Linked DNA regions of Rhinolophus ferrumequinum. The protein of the gene in region 2 interacts with the protein of the main gene of each other region in a pairwise test. Links are inferred from orthologs where the notes say so. Each region holds a gene or a part of one and is shown on either strand. Other genes may lie near its edges.

What was found.
Region 1: the proteins of TLE1 (region 2) and HES6 interact in binary tests that used the Homo sapiens proteins (3 or more experiments, as listed by UniProt). The link is inferred for Rhinolophus ferrumequinum from reciprocal best matches to the Homo sapiens genes TLE1 and HES6.

What each region holds. Positions count from the first base shown.
Region 1 is NC_046291.1:2,245,174-2,255,657, reverse strand, and holds HES6 (transcription cofactor HES-6), read right to left. Parts: upstream 3,814-10,484; 5' UTR 3,729-3,813; coding exon of another isoform or gene 3,683-3,728; coding exon 3,488-3,682; intron 3,383-3,487; coding exon 3,301-3,382; intron 3,065-3,300; coding exon 2,640-3,064; 3' UTR 2,325-2,639; coding exon of another isoform or gene 2,158-2,324; 3' UTR 2,045-2,157; downstream 1-2,044. Other genes in the region: uncharacterized protein LOC117025922, read right to left, coding at 19-503, 641-879, 2,158-2,324; PER2 (period circadian protein homolog 2), read right to left, coding at 10,074-10,211. UniProt on the Homo sapiens protein: Does not bind DNA itself but suppresses both HES1-mediated N box-dependent transcriptional repression and binding of HES1 to E box sequences.
Region 2 is NC_046295.1:45,521,213-45,531,674, forward strand, and holds the start of TLE1 (transducin-like enhancer protein 1), read right to left. Parts: upstream 4,810-10,462; 5' UTR 3,461-4,809; coding exon 3,437-3,460; intron 2,659-3,436; coding exon 2,558-2,658; intron 1,104-2,557; coding exon 1,040-1,103; intron 929-1,039; coding exon 884-928; intron 1-883. UniProt on the Homo sapiens protein: Transcriptional corepressor that binds to a number of transcription factors. Inhibits NF-kappa-B-regulated gene expression. Inhibits the transcriptional activation mediated by FOXA2, and by CTNNB1 and TCF family members in Wnt signaling.

The DNA.
Region 1 (10,484 bases), on a different chromosome or scaffold from region 2:
AACACGTCCTCATCGCACCTGCAGGATGAATGCTGAGCAAAGCCTTGGCTTGGGCTCTGGCGTGGTCCAGAAGCTCGGAATGGCTTGCGTTGCCTCCTCGAGAAACCTGCTTCCATCCACAGCCTGAAATGACTCCTTCCTTCCTCGACATCTCTGGCTTTGGATGCACTTTCGAACCATCTGGGAGCTTTTAATACTCCCGACTTGCAGGCTGCCTATGACCCACGCTCGGTGGTACGGGTCTCCAGCCGTGGGCCAGTCCCAGCGGCCCTGGGCAGGAACCAGCGCAGACGACTGCCCGGCCGGCCAGGAGCCCTCTAGCTTCGCCTCCCCTCGCGTAAAATGGGCGGCTCGAGCTATGGAGGGCCCGAACTGCTGGGCGCCGACGCCTACGTCGCTTCCTTGCCTGATCCTGGGGATGCTGGCGAGACCGCGGGCCAGCCTGGGCGGGGCGCAGAGCCGCCCTTGAACTTCACAGGCATAATAGGGAAGGGGGCTTGGAGCTCAGGGCGGCGGAGGGAGGGGCCTCCGGGCCGGGGAGGCCTCTGGGAGTCGCAGTCCCAGCTCTGCCTGCAGTGGCCCCGGGGAAAGGGAAGTCGAAGGATGGAAACTATATCTCCCAGGAAGCCCAGTGGCTCGCCTCGGGCGGCGTGGAGACGGAGCGGGGGCGTGGCCCAGCGCCTCCGTCGCTGGGCACCATCCGAAAGCCTCCGAGCCTCTCCGAACGTCTCCAGCGCCTCCAGCGCCTCCGAGCGCTGCGCGCTGCTCGAACTCAGCCCACCGGCGCCTGCAGCTCTGCACCCCCAGTCCCTCCGACAGCCGCAATGCTTCGGGCGGTCCAGGAACGGCTCACCGGCCGGCGCTCGGCGCTGAGCGAGACTGGCCGGATACCCGCTGTCAGGTCGCTAAGCAAAGGTCCGAACCTTGAGCAGAGCTGCGGGAGGGAGGGGGCCTGGAGATGGCCGGGAGGTCAGGCGCTCCGCGTGGAAGTGCGGAGGCGAATTAGGTCTGCTGCCCGAATCCAAGTAAAAGATGGACTCGGGTGGTGGGAAAGGTGACAAAATGGAGGGAGGATTTAGAAATAGTTTAATGAACTTGATTGAGTAGGAGTAGGATGACAGGAAAATAAAGAAATCGAGGGTAACTTCTAGATTCTTCGCCTAATTAACGGGGTGCCGTGAAGTGGCAAGGACTGGGGCAGTGACAATGCGTTTGGAGGCACACAACCAGGTGTCAATACTAAATGGTCACACCGAGCTCCAGGCCTGGGCACTGCCAACCCAAAGTGAGAACAAGCTGCTTTGGAGTCCTGGAGCAGATGGGGAGCTTGGGCTCCCTGGGGCAGTCACTGCTGGCAATGGACCATATGCCAGCTGCAGCCCTGACCCCGCCCAAGAGGGCAGTCCTCCCTAAACCCCAACGACCCATCCTGTCACCCTTCTTCCAAGGTTTCTGACCTCTTGGGCCCGTTTGACCTCCAGTCCAAGCAGCCTGCAGCCACGGGCACCTTCACTTCAAGACATGAAATGGGTGGGTCTCCATAACCCTGAAGTCACTGGGTGTGGTGGAAGCTCCTTCAGTCAAGAAAAGTGATAACCTAACACAAGTAGACGGACATCATGCTCATGGATCCCAATGCAGGTCTTTGAAAGAAACTTCCAAACCACGTGGCTAGCAGTCAGGCATCAGTTTGTTCCTAGGAACTCATGAACCAGAGAGTGGTCCGGGGGCAGGCTGTTTCCCTATTTCCCTATTGCTTGGTTACTCTGGGACAAGCCCTGTGCCAGTGGTATCCATCTCGTCTGCACACAATCCTGGGGAGAGCAGGCCAGGCCTGCAGGGGAAACCCACCTGGAACTGCCCAGCGACAGGGAGTGGGGAGCACTGTCCACTGAGACGTGTCCCAGCTCCACCGCCTTCACTCTACTCACTTTGCTGACAAAGGGTGAGAGCTTTCAAAAACATCCCCAGCATTAGACACAGGAAGAACGTGCTTCCTTTCCTATTTTCACAGTTGACAAATTAATGACACCACACCATTCAGTAATACTCCAGAAGGGAAACTAACTCTCCCAAATCCTTTATTTAATAGAATTGGAACATTCGATGGCAACCTAATACATACACAAACTCAAGTGTGCTAAATGCAAGACATACAAAAAGCCGCACTTCTCTCCAGCAGCTATGGGCAATGCTGCACTTGCCTCCCATGTCCTGGCTGAAGTGGCAAGTGCAAGCTTCTGCTCAGGCCACCGCTGCCAGGGCCTGAGGTCTCCCTCTGCCCAGACACCAGTGCCCAGCATGGAGGAGAGGCTCAGCACCATTCCGGTCACCTCTGTCCCCTAACAGGGACAGTGCCTGAGAAGGCTGGGACAGGAGAACCCATGGGGGCCCTGGTAGCTCTGCAGGATTCTTCCTCCTGCCTGTAGTCCACTCTCCACCCACCCGGGACTGTGGGGTCCATAAAAGTTACTCCCTTAAGAAATAGGGCTAGGGGCCTGACTAGTTGGGTGATCCAGGACTGCCCTACAAGCCGTCCACTGGAGGAACAAGGCAGGCAGACCTGGGAGACATCCAGTATCCTGCCCCACGACATCTGGACCCCAGGGAGGAGGGACCAGAGAGCGGGCTGGCGTTGGTCACCAAGGCCTCCAGACACTTTGGGCTATGCGGGCAGCGGTCAGGCTGCTCAGGGCCGCTGGCACTAAGTCTGGTCCCTCAGCAGGTGGGCGGCTCAGTTCAGCCTCGGTGGCCTCCTCCAGGTCGGAGCACAGGTCGTCCCCGTGGCCCAGAGGACTGGGCAACGGGGACCCTAGGGCACCCCCTGTGAGCCAGCCACTTCGTCTGGGGGCTCCGGGGGGCCCGGCCAGGGTGTCCCCCAGCAGATCCCGGAAGCTGCTGCCCTCGCGCAGCGGCATGGACTCCAGCAAGTGATTCAGGAGCTCGGCGGCGACGGTGGCATCGATGGCCTGGCATGTGGACACAAACGTGTGCACCTCATGCATGCACTGGATGTAACCGGCGGCGAAGCGCTCGCTCGCTTCCACCTGCAGCTGCTCGCGTCCTGCGCCCGGGGATGGGAGGGAGAGAACCGCACCCGGCCCTGTGAGCCCGGACTGCTGTGTCCTGGCCCGCGGGGACGCGGCTTACCCAGAAGACGGAGGGGAGCGCGCTACTCCGGGGAGAGCTCTGGTGGTGAACAGCACCCGGGCGCCCGGAGGGGATGTCCTAACTCTCGGGCAGGGGCGGGGTGGGAAAACGCGTCCCGCGCCCCCGCCCGCTCGCCTGCCCTCCACTCACCGCGAGCTCGGCCCCGCAGCGCGCCCTGCACTCGCCGCACCGTCAGTTCCAGCACCTCGGCGTTCTCCAGTTTGGCCTGCACCTGCACCGGCGGGGGCGCCAGGGAGGGATGCACGGTGAGGCCCGGTAGAGCCGCGACCACCCCCACCCGCTCGGCAGCTCCTGGGCACCCGCCCGCCTGCCTCACCTCGGGGCCCGCCAGCAGCAGCCGCAGCTCCTGCAGGCTCTCGTTGATCCGCGCGCGCCGCTTCTTCTCCACTAGGGGCTTCCGGGCCTGCGGGAAGCGGGCGACTGAGCCCCAGCGCCGCGCGGCCCCCCGCACGCCCGCCCGCAGCCCCGGCCTGCACCTTGCGGTCCCCCCGCGCCTCCCAGCAGTCCTCATCCTCCCGGCCCGCACGGTCCCGGCCAGACGCGAGGGGCGGAGCCATGAGCCGCACCGCCTGGAGCGCCGCGAGCGCGCTAAGCGCCCGCGCCCCTAGCAGCGCCGCCGCCCTGCCAGCCACCGCCCTCACTCTGTCGCGTCTTCCGCTCCTTGCGGCCCCGCCCCTTTTATAGTGCCTTATTTGCATCTCAATGCGCCGATTGGCCGCGCAGGCCTGGAGCTACTGGCGGGGAGGCGCGCTGCAGCCAACAGGAGCGGCGCGCTTTGTCCAGTCCCGCCGCCGGGGTCCTCCGGCAGCTGGAGGGGCGTGGCCGACGGGCGTGGCTCCCGGCTTGGCCTCCGCGCGACCCCCGCGGGGAAGGCACCCGAGGGGGCGGTGAGCCGGGGGAGCTGCGGCTCGGGGTGCGTTTGTTTCCCTCCATTCCCTGAACAAGGCCCCCAGGTCAGCTGTGCGTGTGAGCAGGAGCTCATCCATTACTTCCTTCATCTAGTCATTCACTCATTCACACTTGGCTTCGTTCTTCGAAGGTGCCTCGCGAGAGGAGCACCGTGTGCCGGCGTGCTGGGTTCTGGGGGGTGGGGGGGCAGAGGCAGTCGAATCCGCTGTCTCCAGACCTGGGGGACTACGAGTCTGGACTGGGGTGGCTGCAGAGCCCTGCGGAAGTGAGGACTCATGGGGCAACGGGTGTGGGAGCAGGCCCATGGCCCCCTTGCGTTTCTTGCGAATTTCTGTGTCTGGATACCGGCCGCCCTCCGCCTGCACGGGGGTGCTAGTGGGGCAGGGTTCGCGGGCTCGCTGGCACCGTTGCTCCTGCAGGCTCTCCTCTGGTCATTCCCTGACTCCCGCCCGTCTTTCCTTCGTCCCCTGCCGTCGGTTCTTTCCTGTGGTCATCATCCCCGTCACCCCCGGAGTCCCCCATCTCCCCCTAATACCCTTCGCTCCTTCGGTCCCCCCTTTCCCCCCTCTGCCCGATGCAACCCTTCGGGGTCGCCTTCCCCGCCCCCCGACCCCGCCTTTCCCTGGTTCCCCGCTACCGCCCACCCTTCTTTGGTCCTCACCCCAGTTGGTTCGCCCCGGCCCCCCTTCCCCCAGTCCCCCCGCCGGGTCCCCCTTCGGTACCCTTTCCCCCCGCCCAGCCCTCCACCCGCCAGGCTCGCGGAGGCCGCCGTCTGGACCTCGTAACTTGATGCCCGTGACAGTTGGCAGCTGCAGCCGCTTCGGCGGAGAAAAGCGGCGGCCCCGCCAAGAGCGACAGGTGTTGGCCGCGCCTTTGTCTCTGCTGGCTTTGTCCCGCGGGCGGGCGGCGGGCGCGCCTGTGTCCGCCAGACGACCGCCACCCCCACCGCGGGCTGCCCATCTGCCGGCCCGGCATCCCGGCGGGTGGGGTGCGTGAGTGATGGGGCCGCGCCCTTGGGCAGCGCCCTGGGGACCGAGGCCTGGCCCCTTCTCCACCGGCCTACTACATCCGTGCCTCCAGGCAGAGCCGCAATGCCAAGATGCCTCTGACCTTGGTCTTCCGCTTGGAACACTCTCCAACCCCCCTTTACCCACCATGGCTATTTCCTCACTGTTCAGGTCTCAGCTTCCTTATTCATCTACCTGGTGGGAGAGCACCTGCACCTTTCCTAGACCCCCCACTCACCCAGGATTAGGATAGTCAGGGTCTGGTCTGCACCCCCCAGGCTATGAGCATCCCTGGTCAAGAGACAGTCTGATCTAGGACCCCCTATCTGCCTGGTCTCACAGATACAGTGGGTGGGTAGGGCAGGTCAGAGGGTGTCCCAAGCCTGTGTGGCAGGTAGCAGGGAAGGAGACATCCAGGGACTGCAGTATGGTGCAGTTGGTAGGACTAGGCCACAGATGTTATCACCCACCCCCAGCCACTGGAAGATGGACCTGGCGGCCCTCCAGTGGCTATTTCCCTTTGGGCTCCCCACCAGAGGGATCTCCACAGGCAGGACAAGTTTAGGGAGAGGTTTGAAGGTCCCCAAAGTCACCTCACTGACCTGTGTAACTACCTGGGAGCCCTTCCTGCTGATTCTCACCTGCCTCTCTGCTGCCTGCTGCTTGGTTGCTTCTCTGTGAGGAGCCCCCTGAAACTCCCTCAGCTGGGTGTTGAACCCACTGCTTTCCTTCAATCGCCCCTGTTGTTCTCAAGCTCCCCCACAAGCCAGAAAACTCAGCTCTCTTCCTCCTCCGCTCCTGGGTGGCTCAGACCCACTGTCTGTTCTCCCTGCTCCTCCCGGTGGGATTGACAGTGCAGGCAGTTGAGTGACGGACCCCAAGCTGGCCTGGAACTTTATTCTTCTTTGCTGTTTAGACATCGCCTCAGGGAAGGAGGCACCTCCCCACCCCCAACACACAAGTAACTACAGTTAAGTTTCTACTACTTTGAGAAATCGAGGTATGGAAAAATACTCAGTGATCTCTCATACTCTGATTCATACCCCTCATTGCCTGTTATATTGTGTGAAGGAGGCCAAACAGGTATTATAGAATGCTCTCTATGAAAGGCAGTTCACTGGGACAGGATGGTCAGGTCCCCTGGAGCAGGTGGGGAGCTTGGGGAAAAGATGACTAGAAAACAAAATTGCTAGAACACCTGATTGGATGGGGTCCTGAATGTGACGCATGGAGGAAGACATGATAAAGGCAAATGGTGCAACAAAAAACCTGAAAGGCAGCTTGGAACTTAGGAAAAACAACAAGCTGCCCAAGAAGAGAAATGTAATCTTAGCACCTTATTTAGCTCAGTAGCCAATTCTTTCACAATCACAGCACTGTTCATAGGTTTCCACATTTAGAATCATCTAGAGAGAAAGCAAAGAAGGCTTAATTACGGTTACGGGACATGGTATGAGGTTGACTGTAGAACGCAAAGGACAGGTGCCAGTTGTCAGGAGAAGGGAGGAGATGAAGGGAGGGCCAGGAACCTCCCACACCTGTCCTACGTGGGGCAGGGGGATTGAGGAGGGCTGTCTACATTGAGGGAAAGAGAACTGAAGTGCTGGCTTCTGTCCCAGTGTGAGCAAGTGCCCTTGGGGAAAAAAGCAGGATAGAGTGGGGTATGTGTCTTGATTGGGTGTTGCCTGAGGTCCCACCTTTGAAATCAGCCTCAGTTTCCCTTAGTGGGCCCACTGGCTGACTGGCTGGCTTGGCCTTTTCCTCCCAGAAGCCTGGCTGCTCCATGTTGGGGCCACCAAGCTCTCACTCCCTCCTTCACGTGGCCTCCCCGAGCAGACCCACTTCCTGCCATTTGTCCCTTGGAGCCATCCCACCTTCAAAGGTTGCCTGAGCATAGAACTTCCTGAGCATTTGGGCCCTTTGATCCCCTCAGATCCAGGAAGAGAGGAGAGCAGAGCCTGGGCAGGGCTCTGGTGGCTACAGGGGGACCAGATAGCGGCAGGGGTGGCAGGCTGTAAATCTCTAGGGAACAAAGACAGTGGGCAGCCTGTGGGTGTGTAGGCGCCTGTGGGTCAGCCCAGGAGGCTCTAAAAAGCTCCTGTAAATAAGGGGGGTGGGATGTGCCTCTGGGCTTCTGTGGTAAGTGCGATTAAGAATCCCCACGGGCACTCAGAAGTCCAGGGCAACAGAGCCACATCTGGCCACTTAGGGCCAGCTTGCAGAGGTCTCTGCCCACTGGGAGACGCTGCCTTTTGTCCCCACTCCCCCATCATCACTTGGTGTTAGGCAGCCAGGCCAGGAGGGAGAGTCAAGCCGTCCCTCCTGTTTAGGGAGCTTCTCGAAGGTGGGGCACAGGGTCCAGTGTCCATTCATCTCCCCGCTCTGACCCCCACGGTCTTCCACGGTTTTGACCAGGCCCCACATGGCTTCATCACTGTGGAAGGAAGCACTGGACGGCTGGGGTGGGGCGAGACCGCGCTGTGCTGCCTGTACCATCTCTGACAGATATATGAGGTCTTCGTGGCCCTGCTGTCTCTGCTTTCAGGCCATGGCCAGCACGTAAGCAGCCAGCCCAGGAGGAACAGACAACCATGGGCGGGGCACTAAGGGACAGGAGGTGACTGAGGTCACCACAGCGGTGAAAAGGAGCTCCAGGGGCGGAGCCAAATACCCTCACCCCACCCCATGTGTAAGTGAAAACAAGTGGGAGAACTGGATTACAAGACTATATTTATATCCCAGAAAGTTCACTGGGCTAGAGCTGCGGCAGCTCCAGCCCCAGCTCATAGGTCCAAAGTACGTCAGAGAGACACACTCAGGCAGGAAGGGACCAGCGAGAAGCGTGCTGTGCGAGGGAAGAGATGAGAGACCTTTGTGATAGAAAGTCCCTAAAGCAGAATTTCCAGTTTTTTGTTTTTAAAAAATCTTTTGATAATCTTTGACTTCTATTCCAGTTTTCTTCTGTGTTACATTGAAAATACATACAAATAAAAATATACTTGCTTTATTTACCAATTTTCTAAAAGGCAAAAAAGTCATAAAAAGACACAAGCAGTCAAACAAACATATTGCACTGGGTGGAGAAAGCTTGGTTTGCTCACGAACAAACCACTTGTCCGGCAAGTCATTACACAGACTCGGAGAGCTTATTTACAGACCTTTTTAAGGAATATATTAAAAAGAAGGCTCAGTTTAAAATCGAGAAGGTTTTTATAATACCCGTGTAAGCACACATTCTAAAGAAAACATATGACTCAATGCGTGGCACCGTGTAAACAATTTCACAAAATGCTCCTACTGTCACCTTCTCAGCACGTTGAAGATACACAGTTAATCAATGAGAATACATAAAATAATGAAATAATGCTGACGGTGAACATTCATAACAGCGGAGAACGTTTCTGCAGTTTATGTTCAGGGAGCAGAAACGTAACCTTGACTCTCGTTTAATCCCTTAACGACGAGATCAGAGTCAGGAAGCAGTTTGCAGCATCTAGTTTCCACACACGCCAAATCTGAAGGTGATGCTACTTTGTAAATTCAAAAAAATTTAAACAGTGTTTTCTGTTTGAGTTTATAAAAAAATAGAATTACTATTCAGGCATAAGATGGTGTCACTATGGAAACCGGCTGGATGACAAGCAGACGTCACCTGTTGTAGCAGCCACTTCTCCAGCAGAAGACAAGAGAAAACCTGCTTCCTTTTGGTCTCTACAGACTCAGTCCAATTCTAAGTCAATTCTTTCATCAGTGGGATCTTTTCATTCACTCCAGGGACCAAGAAAATTCCAAACAATCTTTGGGATATATGATGCAGCATGAGATTTGGCAAAAAGTTGGGCAGACTGGCCTCACCCACCCAATGGCCTGAAAGTACCCGTGACACTAGGGCACATTACCTCAGAGACCGGAAGGTACACCAAGCGAGGTGAGGCACACAGAGGTCGAGGGCCCACGTCGTAGCCCATAGGGCAGAGGTGAGTGCACAGCACCCCGGGAAATGCACGACGGGTCACTGGGGGCCCGCGGTGTCAGCGGCAGCTCTCTGCCAGGGCCAGAGCTCATGTCTGGGAGGTGTCAGATGAAGAACAAACACGAATGGGTCCCAAATGCAGTGATCAAAGCCTGGTTTGCAGAGGGCAGTCACCATAAGGAGATGACGGACAACATACAAATGGGTCATGGTCTGGAAAAGGGTCCCAGAATGATCTGGAAACACACAGGAGGGTTTGGCCATGTATGAATCTGAAACCACTAGGCTTTGTTAATGCAGAGCGAGCATTTCAACTTTGTTCACCCCAAACGAAAGCTACGTCACGTAGAATCTGTTGCCACCACAGTACGTGAAGCAGAAGCTGCTGGTTTGCCAAACTACATACACTTCACACCATTTAATGCGAAAACATTTTGAAAGAAAAGTAGGAGAGGCTGTGATCTCCACTTGGTAAAAAACATCTAGTTTGACTAGATAATAATTTAGATAAAAAGCAGCCCCCGAGAGAGGACGGAATTTGATCTGTACAAACACACCCTGGAAAGGTTCCAGGAGGTGGGTGCCCTCAGCTCCGAGTCGCATGTGGTCACAGCCTCGGGACACCCCACGGGAGGCCAGTGGACACGGATGTGCCGCTCAGAGGCTCAGCGCACCCCAAGTAGTTCTGCGAGCGTTTTGGCAAGTTCACTGACACTAAAAAAGGGGGATTCTGTCTTTCTCAAGTTAAATAGTAACGAAAATCTCTTCCCCGTCCCCCAAAGTCCACATTTATATTTTAAATATAAAAATGTATTTCTTCCCAAACCGTTCCCACTGTCCAGTTTTCAGTCACCCCTTCAGAATACTATTTTTTTCTAAAACAAAAAAAACAATGTTAAGTATATCTGTCCATTTCATTAGAAACAAATGTGAGGCTCTGTCATCCTCCCTTCCAGCACCATCTAATGTAGATCACAGGCTGGTGGGGCAGGTGGGCGGGGTTATGTCCGCCCTTAGTTTTTGTGACTCAGGGGGGGTCCATTTTCCTCTTCTTTGGTGCCTGTCATTTCGTTGAGTCCCAGAGCAGGGATATGCTCCTCATATGGCACACAGATGTTGCCTTTTTCCATGTTTTCACAGTAAACGCATTCCTTAAGAGAAAAATATGTGAAATCAGTAACAAAAATGAGATCTTCATCACAAAGACGCAATCCACCTGAGTGATGGTGGTGACCAGGTGTCAGCTGCCAGGCTGCTGGAGAACCAGGTGCTCAGCTGTGGGGCCCCCACCTGCTCCCAAGGGCCCCCACACCCAGTTCCCTCAAGGCCAGGGGGAGTCTGGGACCTTCTCGGAGAGGTGGTTTGGCATCATGAGAGGGTGGCGAAAGCCAGCCGGCTCAGGCTGTATTCCCAGCTCCTCCTCT
Region 2 (10,462 bases):
TTATTGTACCAGCGTCTTGATGAAAAAGTGAATGTCAGCATATCTCCAGAATACTTACACACCCTGCCATTAATGCTTTCTTTGGCAGACAATGACTACTCAATCGAGGGTCCTTTGGGCTGAGCAATCATTTAGCTTTTCTTCCCTTATGAGGTCCTTAGTGCCTTGTTCCAGCTCAATACTCTTTTTATACACCATTATAGTAGCCATAAGTGTGAATTTTATGGGAACTTGCAAACTCATAGTCATAGCTACAGCTTTCCACTCACTAATCTTTTCACGCTTTTAAAACCACTAGAACTGAAGCAACTCCCTACATATGTTGTGGCCATAAAAAAACACTTTTTTTTTTTTTTTTACATCCAAACCTGTATCAACTGAAAAATGTTTCAAAAAGATGTATGCTAATAAGCCATCAATCTTGAGTATCACTTTATGCAGCTCCAAAGCATAAAGAAAATTCCATAGTTAGTCATATACCTTGTTTGACCTTATTTAAAGACAAGAGTGTCTCACAGGTCCACACTTCTTTCCAAATCAGAACAAAAATATTAGCTATTCTCAACTTCAGCAACTCTACAGAATACTCAGATCTTTCAAGAGGAGAATTTATCTATCCAGGTGGAAAAGTAAACTCAGAGTCTCAATTCCTATCTGACCATACACAAGCTAGTTTACATTTTCAAAGCACCTCTCACCCAGTCATTTAAACATTTTGTAACTGTCAAGAAGCAATCCTTGCTGCAAAGTATTACCAACAATTTGCAAGAAGGGAAACCAAGGCAGAAAAATAGCACACAAACCCCCCACAAGAAGACAAAGCCACTATTGAGAAAATCATAACTAATTTCTCATTACGGCTTAAGATTTAACTAATGCTTACCTGTTTATGCATTTCTATGTTTAATCCATATGACATTTCATAATACTGTGAGAAGAAAAAAAGAACCAATCATTTCATTAATTCATGTTTTATGATGCTAAGAACATGTATTTGCTCATATTACACGAAAAGGAAAAAAATCTAATTGATACCTACCATCACATAGTGCCTCTGCATTTCTGTCTTTTCACTTGCCAGTTTCTCACATTCCAATTTAAGGCTACAAAAACAAAACAGGCAACTTAATGTAAACATTATGTCACTTGTTTTAACATCTGCCTCACATATTTACACTTCAAGTAAAAACAGACCAATTTGGAAAAGCCATAAACTATCTAGGTAAACACCCAAAAGCTTTGTCCCTGCATTTAACAGGGGAAAGAAATAAGGTGAACATTACAGGGTATCCATTCAGCTACTATTCTTTTTCTTCTTGGCGCATACCTGGTCAGATGCCAAGAATTATTAACAAAAGCTGTCAAAACCTCTAATCTACCCAGAAGACTGATTCCTCCTGGTGGTCATCTGTTCACGCCTATTTCCCTGAATCAAAGTGTGCTTCTCCGGACTCCACCAAAATCTGGCCTTTGCACAATCCTCAGTCTCAGGCAAAAGCTGCACTACCTTTGCCAATTCAAAGTCTCTAGGTTTGAAACACTGTACCTGTAAAGTTACCTCTACAATTGTTGGTCCCTTTTAAAACCTTTGATTTCCAAATCCCTGCCAAAATATGTCAAGCAGCTACTGCAGTGAAGTGGGCTGAAGTCCTCCCTGCTTGGTAAACAGTGTGTGGGTAGGGATGCCTCAAGCTCTAGAGATTATTATCTTCAAGCAGACAAAAGGTCAATAATCAGAAAGCCTCTGACAAAATAAGAAAATTCACACCCCAGCATCTGTGTTTTTTCTCAAGCAAGACAAAAATAAAAACTGTCGTTACAGCTATTTCTTAGCTCTAATCAGCTAAGACTTCATAGGAACGAGAAACTAACATTTCTGGAAAGTCCACTATGGATGTGGTGCTTTACAAATAGTTTTTATTTACAAATCTTTTGAAGTAGGTATCGTTAGATGAAGAGACTAAAGCTGAGAGGGATACAAATGTGACTCCAATCCCTTGTTCTACCCAAATCTACCCAGAAATGACGCCAAAGCAGGTTAGCTTTCCCTGACACACCCACCCCCCTCGTGATCACCAATGATGGGCACAGCTTAAAAGCATCTAGCGTTCCATAATGGACTTTGCCTCAGCCCAATTCTCTACCATAGCAAACAGCGATTTCAACACTGGCTTTGCCTCCCTGAACCGACACTCCAGGGCTGGGGCATCGACTGAACCAAGGTTTTAGCTCAGCCTGTTTGTTGCAAAACAAATAAATGAAGTGCAAATACTGACAGTTCTCATTTAACTCCTAAACACACGAAAATAGACTCCCTGGAACAGCAGCAAACCGGCAGAAGGGAAACAATGGGAGGAGGAGGAGACAAGAGAAGAGGCGGCCCGGGAAGAGCCAGGAAAGGGGGTAACGTGAATGACAGGTTTTAACTGCGACTCCACACGCCACCGCCTGGACACAAATGCTAAGTACAGCCGCCGCCGCCGCCACCCAGGGGCTGGGCGACGTGGGGCACGGGACTGCCCGGGCAACCAGTCGCCCCCCGCGGGCCGACACGCACCTGTGATACTGCGCCTGCAGGAACTGGAATTCCTCTTTAATGCGGTCCAGAGACTCCGGAATAGTGAATTTGAAGGGCTGGCCTGCAGCCTGGTGCGGCGTCTGGGGGACGACCAGCGAGGGGGACCGTGGGACGGAGATGCGGGCGGGTGGATAAAGCAGTTAGAGGACAGAGAGGTGGGTGGAACACAAACAAAAAATAAAGTTAGAAATGGCGGATAACGGAGTCCCGAACGCGAGTTTGCGCTTCACTTTGGGGAGAGGGAAAGTGGACACTCCGCCGACCCCCGGCTTCTAGAGGCTCTAAGCCCCCTCCAGCCTTTCCCGGGTCACCAGACTGGAGGAAAAGGGGCTCCCCGGCGGCCAGGGTGGACCAGGCCAGACTGTCGTCATCGCCGCGCCCTCCCCCACGGGGGCGATAAAGACCCCGGGGACTAGAAAAGAAAAACAAATCCCTAACGCTCCCCGTTCCCAGAGTCGCCAAGGCCAACTTAAGCGCGCCGGAACGGGGGCCGCATTGACATGCAAATAGGCGAGACCAGAAACAAAGCGGGGGGGCGCCCTCCCCTCCCCGGGGGAGGAGGAGGATGTGGTTGCGGGAGCGAAACCCCGGCCTCTCCCGGTGCCCCCGTCACCCTGTCTAGACGTCAAGCAGGAGGTGACCCAGAAGAAACGGGGTGGGGGGAATTGGGAGTTTCAGCCCACTACCCACCTCAAGAGAGCAGGGCCCGGGACCTCCCAATCTTGCAGACCCGGAGACGAGGGGGTCCGTCAGAATGTAGCAGCCACCCGCCTCCCCACAGCACGGAGAGTGCCTCCCGCCCCCCGCCCCCCGCTCCCCCCACCACCACCCCCGTCTCCCCGGCCAGCCGCGCCTCACCGGGTGCCGGCTCTGCGGGAACATCGCTCTGGCTGCCGCCGCGGCTCTGTTCCCCGGCAACTCAATTCTCCGCTCAATTTCCAACTTTAATCCCGCCGAGAAAAATTAAGCCAGTAAGCCCGGCAGAAACGCGACGCGCAGGGGGCCCGCTGGCCACGCACGCAGGCGCGCTCGGCGGGGCGCACGGGCCACTCCGCGCCCGGCTGCTCCTGCTCCCGCCAGTGTGGGCTCCCGCGTTCAGGGCCACATCGTGGGGCACCCCGGGCCCAGCTGCTCGAAGAACCTCCGCGACACCGCGCTGTTCTCCAACCCGCAGGCCTTAGCCGCCTGGGCGAGGAGGTGGGGGAACGGTGACTCCGGCGCGCTCCTGTAGGCGATCAGTGTGCGCGGCAACCGTCCGGGCAAACAAATCCAGACGGGCTGTCTTCCTTTGCTCTTCTCCCGGTCTGCCTCCTCTCCGGGTTTTCCCCGCGGCGCCGGCAGCGGGCGAGGTGCAGGTGGCTGCCGGCTAACCCCACACAAACCAACCTAGTGACGTTTCGGAGCCCACCTTCGCGGGTCCAGGCAGCACCTTTGCCGGGCACTCGCGGGCCCCTAGAAAGCGGCGGGGAGCGAGGTCCCAGCCGCGGTGTAGGCTCCGCGCCCGGCGCCCCGCAGACTCAACCCTGGCTGAGAAGCGCGGAATGACAGCGAGGCTGGGAAAGTGCGGAGGGCGCGCCGGGAGGCTGCCCCGCACACCCCGTACGACCGGCACTCGGTGTTCTCCGCGGTTGCACAAACCCTCCAGGCCCGACGGGGCTACTCCACGAAGGGCAGTCCCGCGGTCGCCCACAGCTCCTTGAGGCCAGGGCGCATCCGGGAGCCGCGCCCGGTGAGCACTCGCCCCACACAACCCGTCCGGCCGCTTCGGACCCTTCCTGGGTCCTCTTTCTTTCCTTCCCTTCGTATGCCTCTACGTAAAAGGCGCTCCAGCCCGCTGCAAAGTTCTCTCACGACCCGGGGTACGACATCCACGAGATGGTGGCAAGAAGAACAGGAGTGCGCGTCGCCGCTCGGCCTCCCTTCCCGGCCGGCAAACTCCGCGGGAGAGTCTGGAGTACTCGGGGCAGCCGCAGCCCACCGGGATTAAGTCGCCGCGGGCCGGCGAAGGTCCGGGTTGGTGGCGCGGGTCCCGCCCGGCCGTGAAAAGGTGGGGGTGGTGCAGTCGGCTGCCTCGGGGACGCGGGGCACAGAGAACCCGCCGACGCTGCTGCGGCTCCTGCAGTCGCCGTTCCTACCACTGCCGCCGCCGCCCGCGCCTCTCGCGCCGGTTACATTAACACGCGGTTTCACACTCCGGAGCTAACCAGCGCGGGCCCCGCCCAGCCCTGGGCGGGCGGGGAACGAGAGCACCCAGCCGGCGGGCGACGTGGGCCCGGACGGCTGGGAGGGGGAGCCGGAGTCCAGCGTCAGCCAATCGCATGCGCGATGCCCAACGTGGGGTGCTGACGCAACCCTCCCCGCAGCCTATGGCGGCGCAGCACTGGACGGGCCGCCTCCCTCCTATTCCCCCCCCTCCCACTCCACTTGCTTCCATCTCTGCTGTTTCCACCGGCTCCCCTCCGGTCCCTCCCACCCCTCCTCAGCCAGCCGCGTCCTCCCGGGCTCGGTGAGGAACTGTTCCTGGAGGAGCCGCGGGACGCTGAAGCCAGCCAATGGGAAGCTGCGAGACGCGGAGATTGGCACTGTGGATGGGAAGGTCGGTGGGAAGGAGAGCGGCGGGGCCCGGCTGTCAATCAAAGTAACGTGGGGCCTGGGAGGGAGCGCGCGGGAACGCGAGAGCGAGAGGGACCTGCAAGTGTGCAGCCACGGAAACTGGGGGCTCGAGTTTGCAAAATTCCTGCCACTGTTCACTTTTTCACTGTTCCCTTAAATGAAAATTCTGAGATTTCAGTGAAAGTAACTCAGCGACTAACCGCGTAGTTTCTTATGGGAGAGGGGGCTTTTTGGTAGTTGGAGCCAAATGCATGTTTTGGTGCTATCCCCTTGTTTGATGCTACTCTTTTCAAAGTGAGGTCACATTCAAAAATTTCTCTGGTTTGTTTTTCTTTGGGCTGCCTTTACGCGGGTGCACGGGGAGTGGACTGTGCACTTGATGGAAAATAAGTGGGCAACGCATTTAGCTGGCGTATGTATACCAGCCGCATAAGACGAGGCTTTTAATGCCCACGCCCCCTTTGCACCCAAGGTGATAGGATTTGGTTTTTATTGGAGGATTTGAAACCACTTTGCGAAAAGGTCGGCCTGCTCTCGTTTAGCGGGAAGTATACCCGAGGTGCTGCCAGTGTAAGGCACGCGCGTCCCAGTCGCAGATGGGATGCTTTGCCCCGGGGCTCGAAATCTAGGGTCCTTGTCTTAAAAGTTCCGACTTCTCCGTGTTGGGGAGTAAGGGACTGCTGAGAGTTTTAGGAGCCTCCCATTAACATGACCGCGAGTCTGTTTCCAATTCCTGGAAACAAAGGGAGACAATAGGATAAACCAGCATTGAGACCTAAAAAACATGTCCTGCCCACCCCACACCCATAGTTTGGGTGGTATCCAGGGCTGAGCCCTGTAAGGAACTAAATAAGAAGCGCTGGGTAAATAAGATGGCTAAAATTATGAGATGGATTTGGAACTTGACTTAAATAAAAGGGATTTTGAGATTTTCAATAAATGGGGCATACCGTATAAATATCTGGTTTTTGTCTGTTTCTCTAAATATACTGCGCAGCAGAAAACCTTCAATATTGCCGCATTTATACTTTTGTTTAAAGAACAGTTCAGTGGAGCTATTTCCACATGATTGGTGAGTGACTAATGCTATTTTGGACAAATGGTGGTGAATTCTTCCATGAGTAAGAGACATCTTTGACAAGCATTCATGTTACCTTGGAATGTACTTACCAAGTTTTTAGTACTAATAACCCCACGGTCCCATTATTTTACTTTCAAGAGACTTACGGAAAACAATTTAAGCAGAAATACATTTTATTTTACAGAGATCTTTTCCTTGAAATATTAAAAGAATCATTTTGGATAATACATGTCACTGTTGCAGTTGTTTTTAAATATGTATGATATGGTTTTGTCTATAACTGCATCAATCCCAAACATCAATTATAAATGAAAAATTAAAGGAGTTATTTTAGCCAGCTGTACAAGTCCATTGTAAATTCTTAATCAAGTTGGGCATTGTGGCTTTGCAGTGTTCTTACCAAATTAAGTAGAGTTAGGAAGGGGGTCATATTCATTTTGCTAAAATGGAGAATGGAAAGGAAGAAGTACCGCCCCTCTTTTCTTGGTTAAATTTGGTGATGACCAGAGCAGGCTTGCTCCACACACAGGACTTCTTAACATCATATGATCCCTGGGCAACTAAGCTTTGTCCTTTGGCAGCCAGTCTGCCTTGAAATCTTCATCTAGTGTTTGGGCTACATGTGCTAATCTGTGGTCAGTTCACCCCATAATCAGCTGCAGGACTGTGTAGAAAGTGTTTGGATGTCACAAATATGCCAGTGCGTGCTGGGACAACTGGGGCCACTGAGACTTCTCTCTCACTTACCCGTTTTGCTTTGATTTACTGGCACAGGCTGGTAATTAAATTTAAACAGAGAAAATTAAAGTGGTATATTTTGAGATAGGACGAAAATGTTGCTACTTCTTCTCTACTATCACCTTTCCATCCCCTTCAAAACATTGTCTTCAAATCTTCTCTAATATAGCTGTTTATGGCAAACATGTTTGCTGTTACTCACTATATTTCCCAGTTTGCCATGGGTAAAATTGGAAACTCTCTTTTAACTAGTGCTTCCTTACCAGTAGAGTTTGAAACACCAGGCCTCTGATTTCCTTATAATGTTATAACTGAAGAATAGAAAGGGTGATGATTTCAAAATTGGAAGGCCCTTAATTGTGTGCATAAAGATGGTGGGTTTTCAATGACTTGTTTCTAGGGCAGCGCATCCTCCTTGAGAGAGGGAGAAGGCTGGGTCTCTTTTCAAGGTCATATTTTCTCTGTGATTGTCATGCTGTAATAATTATACTACAAAACTCATCAAACTGCATTACAAATTATGGTGTTTAAACAATCAAGTAGCTTTAATCTTATGTTTTAAATAAATAATATATGTGTAGATTGCCTACAGCCTGTTTAAAAGAAAATGGTCCTACTCATAACATCTATAATTTTGGTCTTCTATTTAAAGTCTATTAAACATAATCTTCTTTAACATATTCATATGTTATTTTTACATGAAATAGTATTAAGTATTCCACTTCTGTAGGAAATCGTCTCTGAAAAAAAGTTCCTTTTTTATCCTCTGCAAAAGAAACAAAAAGATTGTTAGATTGTTTGTTTTATCACTGATGCATATATGGGTATATTTTCATCCATTTGTTGATGATTATCAAATTTGCAGCTCACCAATAGCATAAGCCAACTACAAAAACTAGATGTTACATATAGTATAAGTACTAGATACAGTAGGAAAATCTGCTGGTCATAGAAATTATGCATCTTCTTTTAAATCTATTACTTTTTTATTTGAAATAATATGTCAATTTTTAAAAGATCAGTTTTGTAATTTTCTCTTCCTTTTAACTGTGAATTATTGGGTATACATTTCCTCATTAGACTTATTTTTTTAAATTGGGAGTTTCTTAAACCTAAGACTGTAGAGTCCAGAAGAAATTTTCCTAACATTGCATTATAACTCCCCCCCACACACACCCTTTTACCAAAGAAAAGGACAGAGTGGGCATGGGGGATGGAGGGGAGAAAGCAGAGAAGAAGAAAAAAATCAGTAGCAGATCCATGCAGCAGTAAAACCTCAAATAAAATCACATCCAAAGAATCTCTTGTGGTTTCACACAATATGGTAAAATTAGAGATTGCAGGAAACCAACTAAATTAAACTGGGAGCATTTGAAGAGAAACGAGCAGACTTTATGAAAATGACACATTGACTGACCAGTATGCTTTTTTATCAACATTTTTTTTGTTGTTGTTAAGACGCAGATCAAAGGGACCTGCATATGTTTTCATTTTGTTCTAACTAGAAAATTACATCCAGATGTTTAATAGGCATTTGGTTGGTTTTTCAGCATTGATTAGATATGTTGGTTCTGTTTGCTTACAAGTGTAGCCGGATCATTAGCTAATGCAAAGAAATGTTTGCTGTGAGTTGCTAATTAGGGCTTTTGGAAACCCTCCATGTTCAAGAACAATTTGTACAGTGGCCAGAAGAACTTGTGGGACTTGGGGAAGTTGTTTTCCCTTTTCTGTGAGGGTGGGGAGAAGCAGACAACCCCGATCTCTAATCTCTCTTAGCCTACAGGGATTGCGAAGCTATCCCTGAGGATTGGAGTGCAAATAAATTAGGAAGAGACCACACAGACACTCCCAAACACAGCGATAAATGTGCTTTCTGGAACTGCCACCATGCTGTCTTTGAGGATGGGGGAGCGAACATCTAAAACACTGAACATTAACATGTAGAAGCTGCTTGGTGCTAATGTTATCAAATACACAGCCTTTTTAAGTATACTTTAGAGACAGATGGGAAAGCCCTTTATGACAAACGAGTGTACTTGAATTCATTACTGTAGTAGTTATAATTAAAAATGTCTCCTTTGCAATTTTAGTACTTTTACAAGGTACAAGAGACCAAGCTTGGGAAGGGGAAGGCTGGGGCTCATGAAAGGAGTGAGGGGAACGGAATTTTGGAGCCAAGGATGAGCCTAGGAGGAAATGCAGTGTTTACTTTCACAGCCCACCTACTTGTTTACCTTGTTAAAGCCCCAAAACTTGTAGGAGATTACCCATTCACAAGGCATTCAAATAAACTGAGGATTTGAGGCACCAGGCTGATAAGCATCTTATCTGGCCAATCATGTTTTTAAAAACAGCTAGCCTGCAGAGTAACACCACCTCTGCAGGGGTCTAACTTTTGTTTATTTAAGTCTGTATTTCTAGAGAGGTATTGGGCCCTATAAGCCATCCTGGAAGTGTGGCTACAAATACCAGCATAGCATGTTCTTCTGCGTATTGATGCCCCTTCTAGACCTGTTTACACCTTGTGCACAGGTATGGCACACTCCTACGTATTAATGTAGACTGATTAATTTGGGATTTTCTCACCAATAGAATATATTCATTATTTGTCCTTGAAATAGTTCAAGCAAAGGGCCTTTCTGTCAGAGCTTTCCAAGTCCACTTAAGGAGGTGATGCTCTTGAAAAACGAGGACAGTATTTTGGGGCAAAATCAGATACTGCCTGAAGCTCAGGTCGTAATAATGGGTCTCAGTGAAGTTAGCCACACATTGCTCCCATCCCAGTCCCTTTAACCCATTCGAAAGTCTGAGAAAAGTTGGGATAATACACTTTTTTATTCTTTCAGTTTAGCATTTAGCTCAACAGAAGCTGAAAGGCATTTGGTAGACAAAAGAAAATAGTTAAAGGCAGCACCTTTGATGTTCCTTCCTGCATATGCCCATAACAAGAGCTGTCCTTAGCCCCTCACTGCTCTTGCATTGACCCACCTTGCTACACGCCCTAGACTTGCTAGGAAATCAACATTAAACTGAGACACCTTTCCTTTTATCTTAAAAGCTTTTGCTTTGGCAGTCTCATTTAAATAAGTTTTCTTCCTTGAAGCTAACAATTTCTTTCAAGGGTTAAAGCTTGAGTTCAGCTAATCTGTGATCTCTTGCTATTTATGGTTGAAGGCAGGTGAACTCTGGGGATGGCAAAGGGGCTAGAAGGCAAGTAAATATTCCAGATTACCTCTGTGGATTCTAGAATGGCAAGTCTAGGCCTAGACGAACAAGTCAAATGACATAAATACAGAATGTTGGGGCTAGAAGGCAAGTAAATATTACAGATACCTCCACGAATTCTAGGATGGCAAGTCTAGGCCTAGATGACAAGTGACATAAATACAGAAGGTTGGGACATTCCACAAGACAACTGGCCGGGGACCTTTAAAAAATCAGTGTTATGAGAG